Linked DNA regions of Lepisosteus oculatus. The protein of the gene in region 2 purifies or fractionates together with the protein of the main gene of each other region. This does not show direct contact. Links are inferred from orthologs where the notes say so. Each region holds a gene or a part of one and is shown on either strand. Other genes may lie near its edges.

What was found.
Region 1: the proteins of znf346 (region 2) and krr1 purify together in Homo sapiens (affinity purification with mass spectrometry; 3 studies listed by BioGRID and IntAct, with this or other methods). This does not show direct contact. The link is inferred for Lepisosteus oculatus from reciprocal best matches to the Homo sapiens genes ZNF346 and KRR1.

Annotation. Positions count from the first base shown.
Region 1 is NC_090702.1:21,455,146-21,466,013, reverse strand, and holds the start of krr1 (KRR1 small subunit processome component homolog), read right to left. Parts: upstream 4,857-10,868; 5' UTR 4,825-4,856; coding exon 4,749-4,824; intron 3,913-4,748; coding exon 3,737-3,912; intron 2,855-3,736; coding exon 2,720-2,854; intron 2,229-2,719; coding exon 2,103-2,228; intron 1-2,102. Other genes in the region: uncharacterized protein, read right to left, coding at 8,036-8,166, 9,218-9,347, 9,479-9,638, 10,517-10,774. UniProt on the Homo sapiens protein: Part of the small subunit (SSU) processome, first precursor of the small eukaryotic ribosomal subunit.
Region 2 is NC_090706.1:39,911,984-39,922,886, reverse strand, and holds the start of znf346 (zinc finger protein 346), read left to right. Parts: upstream 1-6,444; 5' UTR 6,445-6,465; coding exon 6,466-6,523; intron 6,524-6,825; exon of another isoform or gene 6,826-6,910; intron 6,911-8,179; coding exon 8,180-8,283; intron 8,284-9,394; coding exon 9,395-9,490; intron 9,491-10,468; coding exon 10,469-10,616; intron 10,617-10,903. Other genes in the region: uimc1 (BRCA1-A complex subunit RAP80), read right to left, coding at 296-370, 1,065-1,189, 2,261-2,330, 3,300-3,410.

The DNA.
Region 1 (10,868 bases), on a different chromosome or scaffold from region 2:
CATATGCCATTCTTTACCAGGCAGAGACTTACACAAATAAGACAGCAAACAATATTAATGAAATGCATTTTCAAAGCAGTTCCTTTTTTCTGCTTTGTATTTTCTTTGATACAATGAATGTCCAATATTATTTCTAACTAAACAAATTAACAAACCCACCACAAAACAGGCTTTTGATGAGCAGTAAATGGAATGTACACAAACTCTGGAGCAATCTTTGAGTAAGCAATTATTTAAATCAAGCCACGCTTGACTGTAGAGGTCTTATAGTAACGTTTAGTGCCTTAGGATGGCCTAATTCATTAGGTTTTGAGTTGATTAGGGTTCTAAAGGTAGTCTTGAAGAAGCACATTTCATCTTGCAAGGTGATACACTAATGAAGATGGAGAAGTGTTCAACATCACCTTATCTAGACAAAGGCCTGTATGTCAACAGCTTGGGATCATAATAGAACTATGCCATCACTTCATTTTCAAGAGGACACATTACCTGACCAATTATAATGGTCAAGTAGGGACCAAATGAGAACAAAAGACCAAGAAACTAGTCATTGAAAAGTTACCACCACACAAGATAATCACTAGTATAAGAAGCTCTACTCTGCAATATGATGAAGTAATTTCTACAAGTCTCCACATTGCATGGTGGAAGCCATAGGTATCTAATTTCTCCATAGTTAAAACAAACATCTACACAATTTTAGTCTGATCGCACAGAACAGAGACATGGACACACAACCACATTTGTTTGAGTCAACAACAAATGGTACTAGCTCAGCTCAACAAAGCAAGATGCCTTAACATGGGTAGAGAGGCAGTGGTGAGAGATATACTGAGAACAAAACCCCAGAAAAAGACAAGTAGGTAGCAGTGGACTCATCTGGGAATAAATGCAAATACAAATCAGCTCCCTGGTCACTCAGCTTCTCATATGCAATCATCTAAATATGCAATCATTTCTTCATGTGTGACAACAAGACCGAACACCTTCTTGGACTGGTCACTGCATTGACACACTAAGACCGGAACCTGTGGGCTACAAAGATGTGCAGTGCAATAGACCATGTGCACTAACAGAGGTACAAGATACAACTGCTATGTCCTGCTGAGTTTCAATACTAATAGGTGTACTCTATGTTGAGATTGTTTTAGGGTGAACAGTTGTCTTGCCCACAAATTCCTTATATTTTTATTTATATTACAGTCCAATGCTGGCAAACTTTATTGGACTGTATACATTTTAAATATATTTAAAATCTCTTGTGATGCTATGGATCTCTCCAAGACAAGAGAACAAAATTAAAAATAACCACAAAACAATCTATAAGATGCTTCCAAAACCTACAGTCAGACAATACATACAATATGCTGTCATGAAAAATAAAGGAAACTTGAAATTTACCACTGGAAAGTCTAACACACTTAAATCACAGAAAAACTAAAGACTCTCCCCATATTAAATTTTATAGCTTTTGGGCAGTTTAGAACTGAAATAGGCAACAGGGACCAGCTTCATCCTGTTTGAGATAAAAGTTTTGTGATGTACACAAAAACAGCATAAGACCACACTATATTCCATTTTATGATGTTACAAACAAACTGTAATTAAAAACATGCAGAATGATTTAATATATGCTGATGAAGGTAATTCAAGCACCAACTTCTGAAATGCTGTCATCAAAACTACACAATGTCTGATATTACAGAAAGGAAGAAGAAAATTATAAAGAGTTAAGTTTTTACAGAAACAAAATGAAAACTTATCAGCCTATCATGGGAGCATAGGACACAAGGCAGGGCATCCTGGATGGGAGACCAGAACCCTGCAGTGCACACCCACACAAGCACACAGGGACAATCTAGATAAGCTCTCCAAAAATACATCACTGGCCTTTGATGTTTAATTCTTGGTCTTTTAAAAAAAAGTAAAAGTCATACTTTTCTCCAACTAAAATAAGGCATCAAAGAACAACGAGGGAAACAGTGGCCTGAGTACTGGGCTTTACAGGACTGTTTATTTAATAACAGTGCCAGCGAGTGAAATACAAAAATGTAGCTAAAACCACAACGCATGGATTCTTTATGACACCTTGTGATGCTTACCTTAAGAGTTGATCCTTTTGGTCCTATCAGTCTCTCTCTCCTCTTCACATATATTTCTCTGTTTCTGACTAAAGTCCCAATTTTGATGATGTCGCAGGCCACATCATCCTGAAGAATTCGCACAGCCTATAGCAAACAATCATTAGGTGGACAGATCAGGAAAACAGCTGTCAATTAAATGTGGAATTTGAAATTTAGTGGCTTACCCATCATTTAACCACTAGTAAAATCAAATTAATTAGACTCAAGATGGTTTTATACAGTACTTTCAAATACCCCCATTTACAAGGGACGCAGTTTTGATCTAACCTACATTCTATTTACAGTCAACTCTTGGAAAAATGGCAGACTTGAACCTACATGGGCTTAGACATATTTAACGTCTATTTCAGCAGTTACCTAGCATTACCTATGATATTTTTCACTCATCCACAAGTGAACCTATCGTATATGAAATGTTTAGGACTAAAGACAAAACTCACACTTTAGTCCTAGAATGAAAATATTTTTCAGACAGATCCCAAACTTTAACTTTTGGGCTACAAAATATCAAAGTAATTCTAGAATAGATACTTGTGTTTATTGGTGGTATACCGTAAATGTACCACAATACATACCTGATCAAATGGAACGCTTCTTGCAAGCAGTTTTATCAGATCTCTAGCCCTTATAATGGCGTATGGATCAAATGTCTTTTTTGTGGTGCTGACTGTCACACTACCCTCAATCAAGTCTAGGGTTGCTTTGATGTACTGAAGAAAGGAAAAGAAATATAAAACACATGAGAAACAAAGTACCATTAAAGCAAAGGATATTTTCTGAGGCAATTGTAGAACTTTAAAATACACACAATCATCATTATCTTTTCCAATACTTTTTGGTAGCTCATAAAAGTAAAATATGCAAAGTAAAAAACTTTTACATGCACATACAGTACTACCACCAAATAAAATTATTTAGACTGTTGGATTCCATGTTTTCACAAACAGAAATGGAAAAACAACATGTAACTGGTGCCTGGTACCACTTAAATTCCCATGATAAAACAAGAAAAAAAGATGCAGCTACAATTCTAGAATACAAGTACACTACAGTATTAAGCATTTTTAACTCAGCTATAAAATTAAAATATAAAAACAGCACAAGGTCATCAAATAAAAATGTTCCATATTTTTGCAAACTGTAATTCAAATGGTACCTATTTTATTATAGTACATATTGCACAGTAGCACATAAAAGCTTCATTACTTCATACATTGGTACAAACACCAGGAACTGACTTCACAGCAGGAAACAAAGGTGAAAAAAGTGTTGAAGAAAAAAATAAATAGCATTATTTATTATTTATTTTTAGATCTTCATTTTCAGTTCCCAATGTTAATGATTAAAATTGTATTAATTTAATGTTATAATGACCCATCATCTACGCAGTCATTACCTCCATAACCAACATTTCTGTATTTCTCTTTTAAGAACTGAAGCTAATATTCTCCTTTCCAACAAACACGTCATGTTACAGTGATCAATATGAAAGGCATCTAGTATTTTTTTAAAAAATCTGTTGGACACTGCACCTTAAGCCAACATAGGCACTGGATATATTCTAAAATATATTGTTTTTTAAATTAACTTACAGAGTCGTTTAGTGCTTTCTGCACAAGAGGCCAACACTCCTTTAAGTAAGCTTCTCTATATTTGGGGAACAGAGTGGCAAAACTGCTTTCCTCCAACAAACCCTTCGGATTGTCCTCTCTGGTAAATGGGATGTCCTTCCATCCCTCAGGAACTGTCAGAAGCTCAGACTCATCAACTGCTCATTCAAGACCCCAAAAAAACAACAACAAATAAATCATAAATTCAAGAAGTTGACAAACAAGACACTTAAGCTTCTGGACATTTACTATTCAGATACTAAAACCTGCAGTAACAACAGCAACATTACTACTAAGCTGATACAATTTTAACACAACAAACAGGCCCTATGAATTTCAGAAGCTACTCAACTATTGAAAACTGGAAACAAAAACTAGAAATGCTCTGTTTTTTAAAGTTAAATCATCTGTATTATTTCTAACAGCTAGCAATCCTCCCTTAACGCTGCTTGTTTACTTTTTTTTGCCTGATTCTGAATGTTGTTCCAGATGTCCCAAATAACATTCCACGTTTACCTCTGTTCCAGAGACTTTCGTATTCCGTCTACATACTGTATATCTTCAGGTTTTTTCGAAAATCCTTGAAAGCCTACCTGTGATGTTTCTCAATGTCTTAAGCTGCGTACGATGGATAAGTACAGCGAATACCTAGTTCTTAAATACAGTGCAAACTTTCACAGAAGTTATATCTTGATTTCTATTTTTGTATAGGTGCGTTTTCATCAAGAAATGGTTTCATCAAAAAAGATTTGTATGTACTAGTTCTACACCACGTATCTACAACGATATGAACCACTGTTACTACAATATTATTGGTAGATACTTTTAAAAAATACTTCAAAACAGATGGGAAAGTTAGCATTTACAACAGAATTCTCAGATATCCAATACTGTCCTAAGATAACTAATAGCATTGCCAATCAAACTGGAACGTTGCAAATGTATAGCTTCCTAAAGTTATGACCGGTTTTATACTGAATTTATGGTTTATTACCTTCATTTTGTTTGTTTTTGTATTTCTTCTTGCTCGGCGTTTCACTCACGCTTGCTCCTTCTGTGGAAGACGCCATGACTGCACTAACCTTTCACCGCTGAATCACGTGGCAGACAGAAAAAAAACTGTGCATCTGCGTAAACAATCCGTGAGGAGCAACACATTTGTAACTTTCTTACCGAGCAAATTAAAATTACATTTTTGAATAGAAGTATCCCTCTTAAACCACTTTAACTGTAGAAATTAGAAATATTGTTTTTAGGAATAATAGAAAGTCAAATAAAATGAAGTACTCACTGTAGGTGTATTTGAAACATTCAGGATATAAACGCTTTATATCATTTTCCGTACAAATCACAAACATCTAAATTGACTAAAACGACAATGATGCTTGGCACTTCAAAAAGAGGGGTTTTGCTTTGGGTGGAATTCACTCAAGAGACATAGAAAAATAAATTTAGTTTATGTTTGCCTCGTCGATAAAGGTCTTAGCTTTTGTAGACTGCAGACTCCTGATCAAGTTGGTCACCTTCTTCTGTTATAAAATCAAAATTTAAATTCATAACCTAAATAACAACAATTACTCAAACGAAACATTTGTTTTTAGAAAATATACGAGTAGGAATATTCGTTTTATACAAAACTACAAATGGTTACTGCAGATGCCCTTGTCAGACTGCGGGAACCAGGACTCCAAAAGCACTGGTTCACAACCACTCCTAGGGTGTTCTATCTACATACTCAACACCCAAACAGGTACATAAATTTATCATTATTCTGCATTTAATGAACATCACAATTTACACGATTTTCGTTTGCATTTTTCTGCTCTAATATAGGGCCTTCATAAATGACTGTAGCCCAATTCTGATCCTAACAACATTACACAAACTACTCTAAACCTTGCCATATAACTATAGACCTCATGATACAAATTAAAATATTGTACTTCATTCACACTACAACCATCACCCTTAAGACTTGGATCATTAACACCTTAACCAGTGAAGTTAAAAAATACAAATCACTAATCTTAATACTAACTTGAAATAGTTTGTCTATTAATGCATGTTCGCAGTTGATGGGAGGAAGACACTAGCAAAAGTTAGCTGATGTTTTTACAGACGTTTTTAATACTGTATCTCCCTGTGCCAGGCAGTCATCCCTGTATGGTTCAAGACCACCATAATTATACCAGCCCAGAAGAAGACTAATGTGTCGTATCTCAATGACTATCGCCCCATGGCACTCACACCAATTATCATGAAGTGCTTCAAAAGGCTAGTCATGGGCCACATTAAGTCCAGACTGCCCACCTCTCTGGACCCCCTCCAGTTTGCAGATCGTCCCAACCGGTCTACCGCTGATACCGTATCCCTTGCCCTTCACCTTGCCCTGATAAGAGGGACACTTATGTAAGAATGCTGTTCATTGACTTCAGTTCAGCATTCAACACAATCATTCCCCAGAAACTGATAGAAAAACTGAGCTTGCTGAATCTCAACACCTCCCTCTGCAACTAAATTCTGGACTTTCTGACCAAGAGACCTCAGATAGTCCAGATAGGAATCAACATGTCTAGTACCACCATACTGAACACCATAATCCCCCAGGGCTGTGTACTTGGCCTGCTCCTGTTCACACTGATGACTCATGACTGCACTGCTAAGCACAATGCAAATTACATCATCAAGTTTGCTGATGACATGACAGTGGTGGGCCTCATTAGTAACAACGATGAGGCACCATAAAGAGAGGAGGTGGAGCAACTAGCGGCCTGGTGCTTCAACAACAATCTGTCTCTGACTGTAGATAAGACAAAAGAGATGATAACTGACTTCAGGAGGGCCCGCACTGATCCCTCCCCACTACACATCAACGGCTCCCTTGTGGAGACAGCTGGAAGTACTAAGTTTCTTGGTGTGCATATCACAGATGACAACAAAAAAGCACAACGTCTCCACTTCCTGCCGCGACTGAGAAGGGCAAACTTCCCCTCCATGATACTATCCACATTCTATAGAGGTACTATCGAGAGCATCTTGACAAACCATCATTGTTTGGGAATTGTAAGGTCACAGACCGCAAGTCCTTGCAACGAACTGTCAATACAGCAGGAAACATCATTGGAGCCTCCCTTCCGTCCATTCAGGACAAAACTTCCAGTATTGTGGATGATCCTCCTACCCCTCCTGCAACCTCTTTGCCCTCCTACCATCTGGTAAAAGGCACCGCAGTATAGGGGCCAGCTCCACCAGACTCCGCAACCGCTTTTTTCCCCACAGGCTGTCGGGCTCCTCAACACCCTGGTACCTACTGCACTTACTCCAGATCTGGAAACTTTGTTATTTTTTGCCTAATGTCAGGCATACTGTCTGATGTGTTCTTTGCACAATCCTGTAAAGTGAATTGCACTATCCACATTGCACTTTATGCAACCTGTCAGAAAATGTCTACGTCAGCATTGTCTCGTCTGTATTCGTACCATAGACCTGGAGAACGTTCTCACTCCTCTGTATACTTGTACAGTATATGGCTGGAATGACAAACTTGAACTTGAAAATATTGATCACTAAGGATTATTAAAATTACTCAAACTTTTAATTGAACGAAAAACTAAATGTAAATCATAAGGTTAAATCTTTAGTCTGATACAGAGGAGCTGCTTTTCTACAAGCTTAATGCCATTGCTTTCTTTGGTAAGGCTGTCTTAAATCGGTCGCAGTATATTAAACTCAAGCAGCCCGATTTGAGGATGAGTAAAATGTACAGTATAAATTGGCTCATGTTGTAGCTTCCTTGCATTGGCTCCTTGTGGAAATCTCTCCAGACTTTGGTGTGCTTTCCTTTTACAAGAACGTCACGGTTTACAGAAGTTTACACTAACAGCATGTCAGCCCATTGAAATTGTGTTTAAAGACAATTGCATTGTTCTCGTTTAATGTGCAGTATAAAAAATATCTGGTGTAAAAATGTTATATTTTGTACATGTCAAAATCTGTTTTAATTAAATACACCAATCTGCAATAATCAAGAATTCAGTAGGTTTATTAGTAACAATTTTAGATGTATAACACCTGGAAAAACAAGTACAAATCCTGGACACTGAAGACAAGTCACAAGTTGTCTTCCAGTGTTGGCAGATTCCACACCAGCTCTACTAGGTACATCCAGCACCACACTATACTTCAAAATTAGTCCATTAGGTACTTTTGGATTTGTTTTTCAGAACAGAAACAAATTTTATAAAAGTTCTATAAGAACTAAGAGGAAGGAAAGGAGTATTATCATTGAATCCTTTCTTGATGTTTTTCACTGCATTTTAAGATGCACTTTATTGCATTCATGCCCAGCAAGGTCAAAAACAGGAAGCCTGTTGTTCCACCAATGATTGTCATCACATTTAGAAGCTGATGCCCTGTGAGAAAACATGAAGGTTCAGGTTAAAGAACATGACAGAATGCCATGAACACTTGAGAGACTTCAGTATGATAGGAGAGAACAGCAAATGTTTCACTGAAGAAAGAAAGAATTTATCCTCCTTTAATCTCCTACATTAAAGTACATCAAACTAAATTTCCAGGCATTCTTCAGGAAGCATAGTTTAAATTGCAGATATAAAAAACATCAGCTATAAAAATGTGTAAATGATTTCAAAGTAAATTTATGGCTTGAGCACTCAAAAAAGAATGGTTTGACGCTATTAATATCTTATGCCAAATGAACCAACATTGACATCTAGTGGTTACAAATAAAACTGGTACCCATTACATCTTTTAGATATTTCCAGATTTCTCAGACTGCCAAGCACCTCCAGAATACATACATTCAGTACTTAACACTGCAGACCCCATGATGCCCATCAGTGAATCTAATGGACTACATTTTTCAATGGTTTTCTCACTAGTCACAAAGACGGCAGTATCTATTAGTAATCTGATTGAGAACACACGAACAGAAACCAGGCACAGACCAACCAAGTTGAGCACCACATTAGGAGATCACTTTATTGGCCATAAACAATTTCTTGTATTAGGGATTTGTCTTTTTGCCTACCCAAACTTACTCTCCATGAGACACAGACAGGGAGAGAAGCCTGAGATCAGCTATTTATACGGCGTCCCTGGAGCAGTTGGGGTTAAGGCTCTTGCTCAGGGGCCCAACGGAGTAGGATTCCTCTGCCGGCCATGGAATACGAACTGGCTACCTTCCAGCGACAGGCGCAGATCCATAGCCACAGAGACACTGCACTGCCCCATGGTGAATTAAGAATTAAGATTCTCTCTGTAACAGTGGTCGATTTAACTTTTGGAGCAGAAGCTGCACCTACAGTAGCCACAGAGAGATTAGATTCTTTAATTTTTTTTTTGTGAGGGTCCTGTGTGCTGGAGATTTCAATACCATACTGGTAAAAAAAAAAAAAATTACTAAAGCGAGCAATGTGAAGTTCTTTTGGTTCAGTTACTTACAATCTGATCGTTTTGCCTCAGACATCGTGGCATGATCCCCGACAATGATGGGCCCAGCTGACAGAACTGCCGTTAGCAATCTGTTTTTAAGTTCTCTTCTTCTTTTGTCTGTTCTCCTTGCAGGACAGACCTGTCAAAGATTTTTAAGAATGAAATGGAGGGGGCATACTCTTAATATTTTCTGGTAACTTATACACAAGCTGCAGTGGTGTAAAAAGAAAACTTATTGTAATTTAGTGCTATTGGAAAGAAAAAAAATACCATTGAGCAGTTTTCCTTTTCCTGCTGGGTGCATATTTTTGTTAAGCAGTGCACATAGATGGGTTTCTTTGGAGTGACAGTAAACATCTGTACTGAAAACCGGCTCTTCTGTTGTAATCCATTAGCTGTATACCACCGAAAGGTCTCGTCAACAGGACAACTGGGGAAAAAAAAATATAATTTACAATATATGGCCTTAAAGTGCAAAAATGGGAATTCCTCATAGATATGACATTACAGATCCTCTATGTATTACACAATGTTCCTGTATTTTTTCAAGTTTTTTTAAAAAAAACTTTTACATTTAAGGTGCACCGCAACATTTTCGAGACCAGTGAAAGAGCTTATTTATGAAGGTTGAAGTCAACTCTCATCTCGCAAGTGAAAAAACTCTAGAAACCCCACATGACCATTGCTCCCATTGTCAGAGTCCTACAATTACAGAGGCATTTCATGTAGGTGAGAGAAGCCATTTCTAAATAAGCCTCAAGGGCAAACTTTTACAGAATACAGGTTTATAAGAGGCCTTGAAACCAAGTACAGTAGATTAAATGTATAGGTTTGAAAACATTAAATGGGGACAATTAGAAAAAACTGGACAATACCTAAGCTGAGCTGTAGTTATCCATAATGCTACTGTACATGCTGTTGCATTTGTCAAAAACCCTCTACTTCCAAATTAAATCTAGGAAATATTAGCCATCGATGATCCTTTATCTATTATACGAATAACAGATCAGACATGCAACAGGTCAGCAACTAAAAAGCACACAAAACTGGCACTAATAATTTCGTGGTCTGGCAGTTGTTTCAATAATCAACCAGTGCCGTACAAATGACTGACATACAGTAAATACAATGTTCACAGCTCAATTTAGTGTACATCCTAGGTCAGCGATGGAAAAACATGTTTTAAAAACAAAGACCTATATCAAATTATTAAATTTGCACTAGCTCATGCAACAATGAGTACTTCAATGAATCATGTGTGGTATCAGGCACATCACTCTACAGCAGGACTGTACTGTATGTGCTCACCTTTCATTCAAGAAGAATACCTTCGGTGTTCCCTTTGGGTTGGATGTCTCCGTTACCCAACAGGAGACCACCTCCAAAACAAAGTCAAAGGCAAAGGTGTCCTGTGAATGAAGGGTCACCTCAAAAAAGAGGTGAGTGTCCGAACTGAATTCCATCGGGATCGAGTTGTTGGACTTAAAAGAATCATTGTCGTGTAGAGTCATACGGAGTTCCAAAATCCGGCTGGTGTTGTACTGGATTAGGATCAAGGACTGATGCCTTGAAAGGAAAGAAACATTTGGGCTTGATGTGGTATATGAAAATATGCATTTATAAAAACTGATCATCTCAAATGTTGGGAAAAGGTATTAAA
Region 2 (10,903 bases):
GGAGCACAAGCTTCCACCTCGGACACTGAAGTGACCTTTCGGGGACCGCAGGGCTCCAGGTCAAAGGAGGAGGAGGTCCAGAAGCTTGGCTAGGTGTTGGCATTACCGGGAAGCGTTGAGAGAAGATGACACACCCTGACTCCTGGCAACTATGCAACACATCTGGGCTCAGTTTCTTCAGGAGGAGGACAGGAGTTCGACCCAAAGTGCTCTTTCCCGAGCGGAACCCAGGATCTGACTGGCTCTCACTCCTGCGACAGGGCTCATGACGGGAGTTCTCTTTCCTTTTACTTACTGTTTTCTGGGCAGCAAACTCTTCTCGCTCTTCAAACGAGCTGGTCTGGTCGGGATCATCACATCTGCTGCTTTCCTGAAATACCAGAAACGTTAACTCATTAAAACATAAACAAATCGCAGACAGATTTATGTGCATCCTAATACTTTATTTGATTACACTGTTAGAAATTAGTGAAATAAACTGCGTCGCCAATGCCCTCAACTTTACAAAAAATCTAAACTCATGTTTAGAGGGAACATAAAGCACCTGTGAAAACAAAAGCACTACGTACTGTACATAATTTGCAACAGGCTGCTGGAAGTTTTAATTGAATCTACAGCTAAACAAAACTAGTGAATGAGAGTGGCACACGTGCTTGTGATAGTGTCAGGGTAGAGGTATACAGGATTAATAGATCAGACCCTGAATACAGCATAGTGTATTTCCCCTCTGTAGTCTGAAGACTACAATTCCCAGAAGGTGCTGGGGCTCAGAACAGAGTTTATGATTAGAAACACGTTACCTACTAGTAATTCTAGTCGTACTTAAAGGGAAGGGCTGCACTACGAGAGCGAGACTGCGAGAAGTCTTTGCATGAGTACAGACCTACGTATTGGACAAAACCCTCGAGAAAAGGACGTTTCTGTATGGAATTTCCCACCACCCCCCCACACACACACACACATCCAGCAGCATGAAGGAAATCCCTGAGCTTTGGCTTCTCCCCACGCGTCACACTTCCATTCAGCATGCACGGGACAGCTCTTAGAATAAACACATGAAGTACATGTAGACTCTCCACTATTGCCCTCCTCACGGCTTCGTCCTCCTCCTTGTCCCGCTGCTTGGTCCGCCTGGCTTCCTGTTCGCTCATTCGCATGGCCAGGCTCACCATTTCGTCTTCTGTCATCTCTGAAGAACAAGAGCATCTCCATGACTCAAGGGACAGGCCTGTCTCCCCGTTAGGTTGCTAAGCGGCCTAGTACAGGGTTTGGGTAGGAGGAGGGAGGGACAAAGTACGACTCTCAAGGTCATTTTCCATGTCCCACAGAAAGAAAGGCCCCCCTCGCTAACTTTCCTCTTTTGGTGGCACGACTAATTTTTATTGTTTAAAGTACACTGTACCTCCCCTTAGAAGGCAATTAACAATCATAATATCTTCACCGTTAAGAAGTCCGAAACTGTTAATTAATCATGGATATAGTATCGTATTTTCTACATTACTAACCATTACCGTGCCTTCTGTCACAAAAAAATATCATTGAGATGCCTTGTCCAGCAACTCTCCATGAGACACAGACAGGGAGAGAAGCTGGGGGTCAGAGCGCAGGGTCAGTCATTTATAAAGCGCCCCTGGAGCAGTTGGGGTTAAGGGCCTTGCTCAGGGGCCCAACGGAGTAGGATTCCTCTGCCGGCTGCGGGAAACAAACCTGCACAAATCTCAATTGTTAAGGCAACCTTTCAGAATGAAAACAATTAAACAGTTCAAATTAAGGTAAGTTATGGGTCCAACCTACAGGTTCAGGACTGAGAGCACCTGACCTAGACAAAATGACTAAACATCACCCAACACCTTCTGCACACAAGGGGGTCGTGCAGAAGCCTGTCATACGTACATGAAATGCACTGGAGCCCGTGGGGAAGAGCACTACTCCTGCTTTAGGAGGCACTTAATGTGACAGAATAATAATAATAACAATAATAACAACAACAACAACAACAACAACTATTTATAGAGCACATTTCATACAAATAGCAGATCAAAGTGCTTTACAAACCAAGCGTAAAAATAAAATCTTAAAAATAAGAGATATACTTTCAGTTGTAAAGGAAAACAGTAATACAGTAAAGCAACATTAATGTCAATTTATGCTTGAAAATTACATAAATAAAAATTAGGAAAGTCATAATAAAATAAGACCAATAAAAGATAAATAGAAAAGAAAGATAAATAGAAAGAACACTTAATAATTAAAAACCTACCTCGAGCCTGTCCGCTCTGCTGTCGTGCCTGCAGCCTGTCTTCCCTTGACAGGAGAACGTCATGCTGTTTCTGTAGGTAAGGACACAAAGGTGCAGCACATTTCATCACCAAAGCTGCTGTTTCAAACTACAAGAGATCACTGCATCGTAAACATACGAAAAGTGGCAAACGAAAGGAGGCCATCAGGTCCACTTGGCTTGTTCGATGTTTTAATCGATGACTGAATTTAAAATCTTTATCGGGCAATTTGTTGTACACCAGAATTTTGACCTCAACTAACCGACTGTTCCAGACACTCCTTGTATATAAAGGTGCATTTCCCATCCGCCGACCTGAATCAATTTTAGGACAGAGAAAAAGCTTCCAGTTGTGACACCACATTCTTATTTCACTTCCGATCCTGATATAGTCCTCTGCTTTTACTTATTTGAACTTCAGATACTTGATCCAAACCTCCTCTTAATCTCCTTTGCTCTAGAACAGGGGTGGTTAACTAAATTCCTGGAGGATGCAATGTCTTCTGCTTTATTCTTCTTCTCCATCAGAAGCTCACACCCCTGTTCTAGACTCAAGAGATCTACAGTAGTTCCTTTAACCTGTCCATATGTAACAGTCCCAGAAATCAGGATTGGTAAGGGCTGATCTTCTTTGGAACTTATCTAAGAGAAGAATGCACTTTTAGTGGCATGGGGCGGAAAACCCTATACAAGTCGAAAACAGAATGGGGTAAAAAACTAAATAAAGGCATGCAGAGCTCCTATGCGTTTCAGTTCCCGACAACACTTAAAAAATTGCGCCCAGAGCGGACAGCCGGAACTCAACCCGTAGACTCGCTCATCTCGCTCGATTCCTCAGTATCCTCGCCCGAACATGCGTGGGTATAGCCTAGTCACCTGGGTCTTTGGTATGCCCCTTTAGACTTTTTCCTCCCCCCAATAAGAAGGGCAATACTGAATAAAAAAAATAAACTGAAGACGTCTCAAAGCCGCGTCTGCTAGCTATGATGAAACACTTTGAAGGACAAGGACCAGCACAAACCTCGCTTTCTGCGTCAGACACAACAACAAACTCGCCATTGTTTTCAGCGAGATGTCTCTTCTTGGGCACTTGGTCCGCTTCCCTCGCACGAATTCGCCTTTTCTGCGGCATACCGTCAGCATACTACATACAACCCTGGCTTTTACAGTATGGAAACAATAGCCGAATAGGCTGGAATAACGATCTGTGCGGTTCCCACTGAGAGATGAAAACCTCAGTATGGCTGCTCAGCCTTGGTTGCTTGGCGCACTGGTGGGTGCCACTTATTAGTCAGCTCGCAAAATACGAATTATTGCAGTTGCACTGACAGCAGACCTCTTACTGTAAGACGACTCGCAAAGGTCGCCATATTTCCCTCGCTCACGTGATCTCCCAGCCGCAAAGAATGCTGGGTGCATTCTCGTTTGCAACTGTTCAGTAATGCAAACCAAGAGCAGGTGTTAATGTTTACGCTTAAGTAATTTTGGCATGCATAAATATCAACACATTGTATTGATTCACTCAACATATTGAATTAGTTGTTTTGGAGCTCGTTATTCCAGTCTGTAAAAACTCGCTGAAAATCTGAAAGCTATCAAAACAAAATTCAGAACATGATTTCTAAGAATGGTACTAAGCGCTCTCGTTTGCTTTTGTTGTATTTTAAGAAACATTTCTCCGGTTTATGAATACATTGACCGAATATTAACTTGTGATGTGAGGAAATCTAGAACACAACAATGTTTTATTGCTAATTTATTAATATTGAAATTTGGGAGAGTAATCTTATTTGCAATCACAAGGGATAAATCTCATATGTCTTGGGCTTTAAAGGATATGGCGTCTCCAACAAAGATAATCTTCGCCACGAATTACTCCATTTGATGGTTTGTCCATACAAAAGACATTCTTTTTGCTCTTTCGACTTTATTTTGAATACAGGAGTGAGACAGGATACACACTGGGCAAACACACAAACACTCTCAGCAGGGCCAGTTTTACAGAAGTCAGGTGTCCTACCGACTTTAACGGAAGAACTTGGTGGGACACAGACTGCACCACCAGACACGGGAGAGAACTGGGACACCGGGGGGGAGTCCACCATCGTCTTCCTCCCCTCCTACCCTAGAGTGGACTTGGGGAAAATAAGGAACAGCAGGGACAGAAGAGGTAGCTGAAACCTGTAACCCCTGAAAGGCTGCAGAGAGCTCTTCGCTGTGGTGCAGTGAGGCACACCGGGACATCGCTGCTAATCTGGGACACTGGGTTTTGGGTAACCGGCGTCCACGAGGGTTTGTGTGTTCTGTGAGGGTGTGTGGCCCTTGGGGATCCATTTATCATGTGTGTTCTTATGATCAGATAGAAGTTACCACTCTTGACTGTAGGTGTAAGCAGAATAAATACTACGATTATGTTTAAAACAAGTGTGTCTTTGAGCTGTGGGTGGAAACCACAAACAAACTCCATGCAGGTAGCAGTGTCTAAAAAAAATGCGGTTTGGGGAAGCAGCTCCTCATGAACTTTTACCGCAGCACAACAGAACGTGTCCTCACTAGGGGCATCACCGTGCAGTACGGCACTACTACCATGCGTGACAGAGACGCACTACAAAGGGTTGTGGCAACGGCCCAGAGGATTATAGGATGTGATGGGCCATCAATCGGTGAGATCCACACCGCCCGCTGTCGCTGTAAAGCCTGTCCGTCATACAGGATCCCAGCCATAAGCTGGTCTCCCCCCGCGGTACCGCACTGCAAAAGAACTGACCCTTAGACTCAAGAACAGCTTCAACCCTGCTGCAGCGAGCATCATGAACCGCTAACTGTGCATTGTCTCAGAGGATAGGGCACCCCTGCCCTCTGCACTCCTGTCTTGAACTACCATGTATTTGTGTTCACTACCGCCTATTTCTTGTTCTCTACTGTGTATTTATTGTGCTGGTCCGTTTGTTGACTGTACATACCATCACTGTTTGTTACGTACTGTCTACACTGTGTGGTGCTGTACTGTACCCGTCCCGAGAGATCAGTGTGAATAAGAATCCCACTGTTCATGTACATACAGTATGGCAATAAACTCCCCTGCTCTATTCACCCCAGGAATTGAACCCAGTGTCCCATCGCCGCAAACCAACAATACTAACCCCTGTGCCACACCCGAGCCACCGTTAACTATAAATAAAAACCCATACATGATTTCTTTAGAAAAGCACCAATTTAAAAGGAAACACATATTCGTTCATGTGAACGTTTCATAATTCAGTTTAATGCTACAGAAAAGAGTGGAACCAAAATGGGAAATATCAGGTGAGCCTGGCAGATATATTTTGCCCGCTTCATTTTGTGACCGCTGTGTTGTTACCCCCCCAAAAAAACCAAACTATCACGGCTGATATGAAAGACACCGTCTTCTGTAGGACACGGAAGTTTAATTGACATAAAACACGTAAGAATACTGGACAGGCTCACCTGAAGCAGCCTGGACTGGCCAGCTCGAAGGCGCTCAGTACGCCTGGCCAGTACTGGGAGGGGGGTCGCCGAGGAAGAACCAGGTCTGGGTTATAAGCTTTATCCCCCCGTCTGAGGGGGGCTCCTCGCCTCAGAGGTGTCATCCTTAGGACGGGGTGTTAAAATTAAGATCCCCAACTACGTCCTTCGGCTGAACTCATTTCTCATTCCTCCACCACACCATACCAGGCGGGGCTGACTTCAGTAAGGGCTGGAACTGGGTTCCCCCCTTTCTAGAAAGAGTTCTAGGATCTTTTGGGATTAAAAGTACTATGTAAATGGAAGGCATTTTACCCGGGTGCAGTTAACCTGAAGAAAACCAAGCATGTTTATCGGGATGTTTTGTTCAGAATAGTGCACTACACCGGTTTTCTCGTCTTTATTAATTCTTTCATACTTCTTTTCTTAAGAGGAGCTCAAAAAAGTCCCTCGACAATGTATGTAATGATGGATAAGTTTATTACTGTTTGCAAGAGGTCAAAACGCAGTACAGAAGTCAGAACGCACTGGGGGGGGTGAGTTCCGTGCGATTCAAAATATCAAGACGTTATTTGAACAGACCTGTTACACTTAAGGGGATATAAAGAGTCCCCCCCCCACATTTAAACCGGTAGCACACAGCGCCCCCCACCGACCGGAGAGCAGAGACCTCAGGCTGCAGCTCGGCGGCTCTGGGAAACATGGCGGACGGAGAGCGGAACGGGGATTTACCCGCTGTGCCGTCGGGGCTGGAGGAGGGTAAGCGCCTTCACCCGAGGACCCGGAGTCGAGCGGAGTGTCGCAGATATCGGGGGGACTTGTGCGAAGCTGGTTTCCCCTCTAGAGGCGGAGGAGTCGGACACAAGCGGGGAGCTCAGCGGCTGACTGCCTTGGAAATAAGTGCTCCGAGATGGAAGCTGTAAAAAATAAATAAATGCATCATTCGAGGTCGAGGAAGCGAGGCAGAAAACAGTTAATGCTGTCCGCGGAGAGGGTATATAAAGTGTGCACGGAAATTCCCGATCAAATGCCTTCTGCTACCTCCGCAGTCTCGGCGAGATGTTTTACGTTACTGTCAACATGGAAACCGAGCTGCGGGTCTTCACTCTTAAAATGCCTCAGTGGACGCCAATAACATCGCTCCCGGTGAATGAAAACTTTTTTTCGGAGTAAATGCCCTTCCGCCTAGATACTATATGCTCAGCCAGGGCCATTCCGGGAAGCTGCTACGCTCTCCAGAACCCTGTTTTTATCCAGACAGGTTTATAGGTCACCTTCTTAACAAAGGTTGGCTGCACCTCTGTGTTATTAGCGTATTAACTCTAATAAAGGATGAAGGATGAAGAAAGAGATCTTAGATTTGGGTCCCAGATCAATGTCTAAAGTACTCCATTTAACTAATCACCCACTTAACTGATCACAATGAAATCATATCCTTTCTTCACATTTCGGGGTGACCTACATTGGGGATGTCCTGGTCTGTGGCTTGAGACCCCCTGTTCTAGAGATCTAATTAAATATTTCCCATGTTGCAAAAAGGAGGTTTGTGTCATTCCGAAGGTCAAGAGTAGAAATCGTTTTGCTAGATGGGGGTGTTCAGTCTTTGTGACCAAAGTCCTTCCTCTGGCTAATTCTTAATTCATTAATTGACCTTCAGCATCTGGACTAATTAAGCAGTTAAGGGTCCTTTCAGTGCTGCACCTACTGGAAGTTCAAAAGTGCTGTAATGACCTGGAATCAGGGGTCAAGGCTGAGATCCCTGTGCTAGCGACAGATTTTCACTCCTAAATACACCTGAATCTTGCAGCTGTTTGTTGGCAGAAAAAGTCACTCTGCATTAGTTCAGTCCAGTTTTGTTCAGTTCAGTTTATTTGTCATATGCACAAGTGCAATGAAATGCTTATTTGCACCTGTTCTCCAATACAAAGACATTAAAGGAATCGCCAAAAACATAAACACAGAACAGCAGCAGCAGCAACAAGTTAAATAACATACAGCTTAAAAAAAAAAGATGGACAAGCAAGTTTGAGGAAAAAAAACATCAGTGTGCTGATTACTGAGCTCTGCCTAACTCTCGGTAGATAGTCCAGCTACAGTACATTCTAATGTCAGAAATATCAAGTATTGGCACTGCCTGAACTGTGCCTGGATTAATGACATTGCAGAGATTTCTGCATTTGGGATCCAGCTGCTTGTAAGTGCTTTCAGTGGTTTTTTTCTGCTTTATCATGTAATCGACATATTGTGTTGATTTTATTGAACCGTACATCACCCGGGATAAGAGCACCTGCTAGGAAGATAATGTGTGTTGACGGGAATGTATAGTTTCCAGTGTACATTGGATAAAGCTAACTTTTGCTTCAGTGCATGCCCCAGAACTAGTGTTAATAGTGCCCCGTTTGTGTTCTTCAACAGTGAACAAGATGATCAGCGAACACAGTCACCTCTTCTCTGACACGCAGTGCAAAGTGTGCAGCGCCCTTCTCATCTCCGAATCACAAAAGCTTGCCCATTACCAGGTGGGTAGATTACTTGGCTGTTGTTTTCTGTGTTGTGTCTCTGCGCTGCACACTTTGTCCGGACGGCCCCCTCTGGCATGTGGGAGAGCGCAGCCTTGAGACAGACTTAATGCAATACCAGTGTATTTGTGTAGATTGCCATCACATCCTAGCATGCTACATAAACAACACGTAAGCAGGCGGTAAGCTGTACTGTACAAAACACTAACCACGAAGTGGAGCAACTACGGCTGCTGAGGAGGGCAGCTGGTATTTATATGAAGGATATGGATATCTCAACATTTGCAAGGGTTCAGTGTAGAGAACCATTGCAAAGAGCCAAGCCCACCTCTGAACGTTCGCATATTTAAGTCAATTACCATAATGAACAGAAACAACAGTCCAAATTTCAAACGTACAGTAATTAGCTAAAATAAATAACCTGAATCCCTCCTCTGCGTCTGGCCTGCAAATGATCTCTGCCTTCCCAGTTCCATGATTAGCACATCGCACTGTAATGAAAAGGGCAGTAAAACTGTCAGTGGGCCTGTAAAGTCGTCTCCAGACGGTCGTTCCACACACTGCTGACACAGAACCAGGAGCGTTCATTACAGTTTAAAAACCAGGCCACCCTGAGATGTGGATGCTGGATAGGGGGTACTTGGGCAGGGGGCAGAGAGAAGATGGAAAAAAATTGCACAAGTGGATTAAGAAGACTGGTGCAGAAATTTAGATGTCGATCTGGATCTGATGGCAGTTGCAGCACTATATATTATATTATCCCTCTCCTCTTGCAGTCATGCGCTTATTGACAAGTGTTACAGTGCTCTCTCTGATAAAAGGGTGTTCAATACAAAATGTGAGGCAGCACTGTGCTTATTAAATACTCCCGCTGAGCAATGCAGTACATGGTCTAGTATATGGATCATCTCTGCCTCTTTGGTTCTGTAGACCATCTGTGTGGCATTATCAACCGCTCTGTGCATAGCCTTCATCCAGGGACTGGACCAGTGTAAAGGTTCCCAGCTCTGGGAGACATTCAGATCAGGAATTCAGTGCTGTTTTATTCTTCATTCTGGATTGCTGCTGATGTTTAATAGTTAAATGTTGTTGTTTTTTTTCACTTTTACAGAGTAAAAAACATGCAAATAAAGTACGCCGATACATGAGTATCCACCAGGATGAGGAACCATCGTTGAAAAGGTTCAAAGGCCACTCATCTGACAACGTAAGCATGAAGCAGTGTTTCTTTGAAGAGCAGGATAACAACAATAAGTTCATGAGCCCTGATCAGGGGAGCAGGCAGGGGTGGTTTAAAATGGCACATTAAAGTCAAGCTGAATAGTAAGCACCAAAACAGTGGTTCAATCTTAAGCAAATTTTAACCTCACTGAAATAAAATAGTGTCATTGGGGTTTACTTATTTTTGTTGGCCTCCGGTGTTGGAGTACCTCCTGTTTGTGTAATGTGGTGAGTCTCTTGTCCTTGCTGCCATTGTAAATCAGTTAGTTATATGAGTAATTCTGTTACATAACGGATAGCAAGTGAGTTTCTGAATGTTTTTGTTCCAAATGAGTACTCAGATGAACTTTCTTTTTTGCTTCGGAGAGAACGTGAGTGTTTAATCTGTTCCCCATTTCATAACAAGACTGCTCATTTGGCAATACAAGAAGAAATTGTGAGAAGTCTCCTTGCACTAGAGCTGGGAACGCACTGCAGTCATGTGTTTTGCAAGTAAAAATGTTTTCTATGAACAAATTAATCCCCTGGTCCATCCCCTGCACATTTCTACTCAAGGCACCCAGAAATGAAGTAAACGACTACAGTGGAGCCCCCACGAAACAGGGCCGTGGCCGTGTTAGTAGCAGCAGTGCCAGACTCCTCTGTCCCCTGTTGGCAGCGTGGAGCACGGCGAGTCCAGGCTGAGGATCCAGGGACAGCAGGAGAGGCGCCCAATGAAGCGTCAACATTAAAGAAGCAGCCAGGCCAGCTGGCCAGATCGTTTCTACAACCTGGGCTTTCAGCGGGTGGGAGTCATCAACCAACAGGAGCATGAGCGATCTTCCCTGTTCAAGTTAAGGAACGGGGAAGAGACTTTTCCTCAGACAGGCTGCTTTCATCCCATCTTCTCACAGGCTGGGACTTAGGTCAGGGGAGGCTCCTTCGCTCCATTCATTGACTTTAGTGTTTCCTGTTCCTTCCTCAGGCAGGCAGCAACGGGGTGGTGGATCGCAACAAGGCGTGCTCCATCTGCAACATGACGTTCTCGTCGCCCGTCATGGCCGAGTCCCACTACCAGGGCAAGGTGCACGCCAAAACCCTGAAGCTGAAGACTCAGGGCTTCCAGGCTGCAGGTAAGACAGCCAGCTCCTGTTGTCTGCCGCCGACAGCCTGAGCTGGTGGGGCGGCCTTGTCTTGTCCCGGAGGGGTCCTGACTCTCCATGGTCATTAGAAATCCCCGGGCGCATCTCGGAAAGAGCAGGGGGTGCTAACCTTGGTGTCCTGGCCAGGTTCCCCCCTGGCTTTCACCCGTCATGGTCAAGGGGAGGTGATGTGATGTAGAGTAGGAAGCGAAAGGCCTGCTCGCGCGTCGCTGTCGGGCTCTGAGGTCTCATCCCCCGGGCTTTTTTGACGGAGGCTA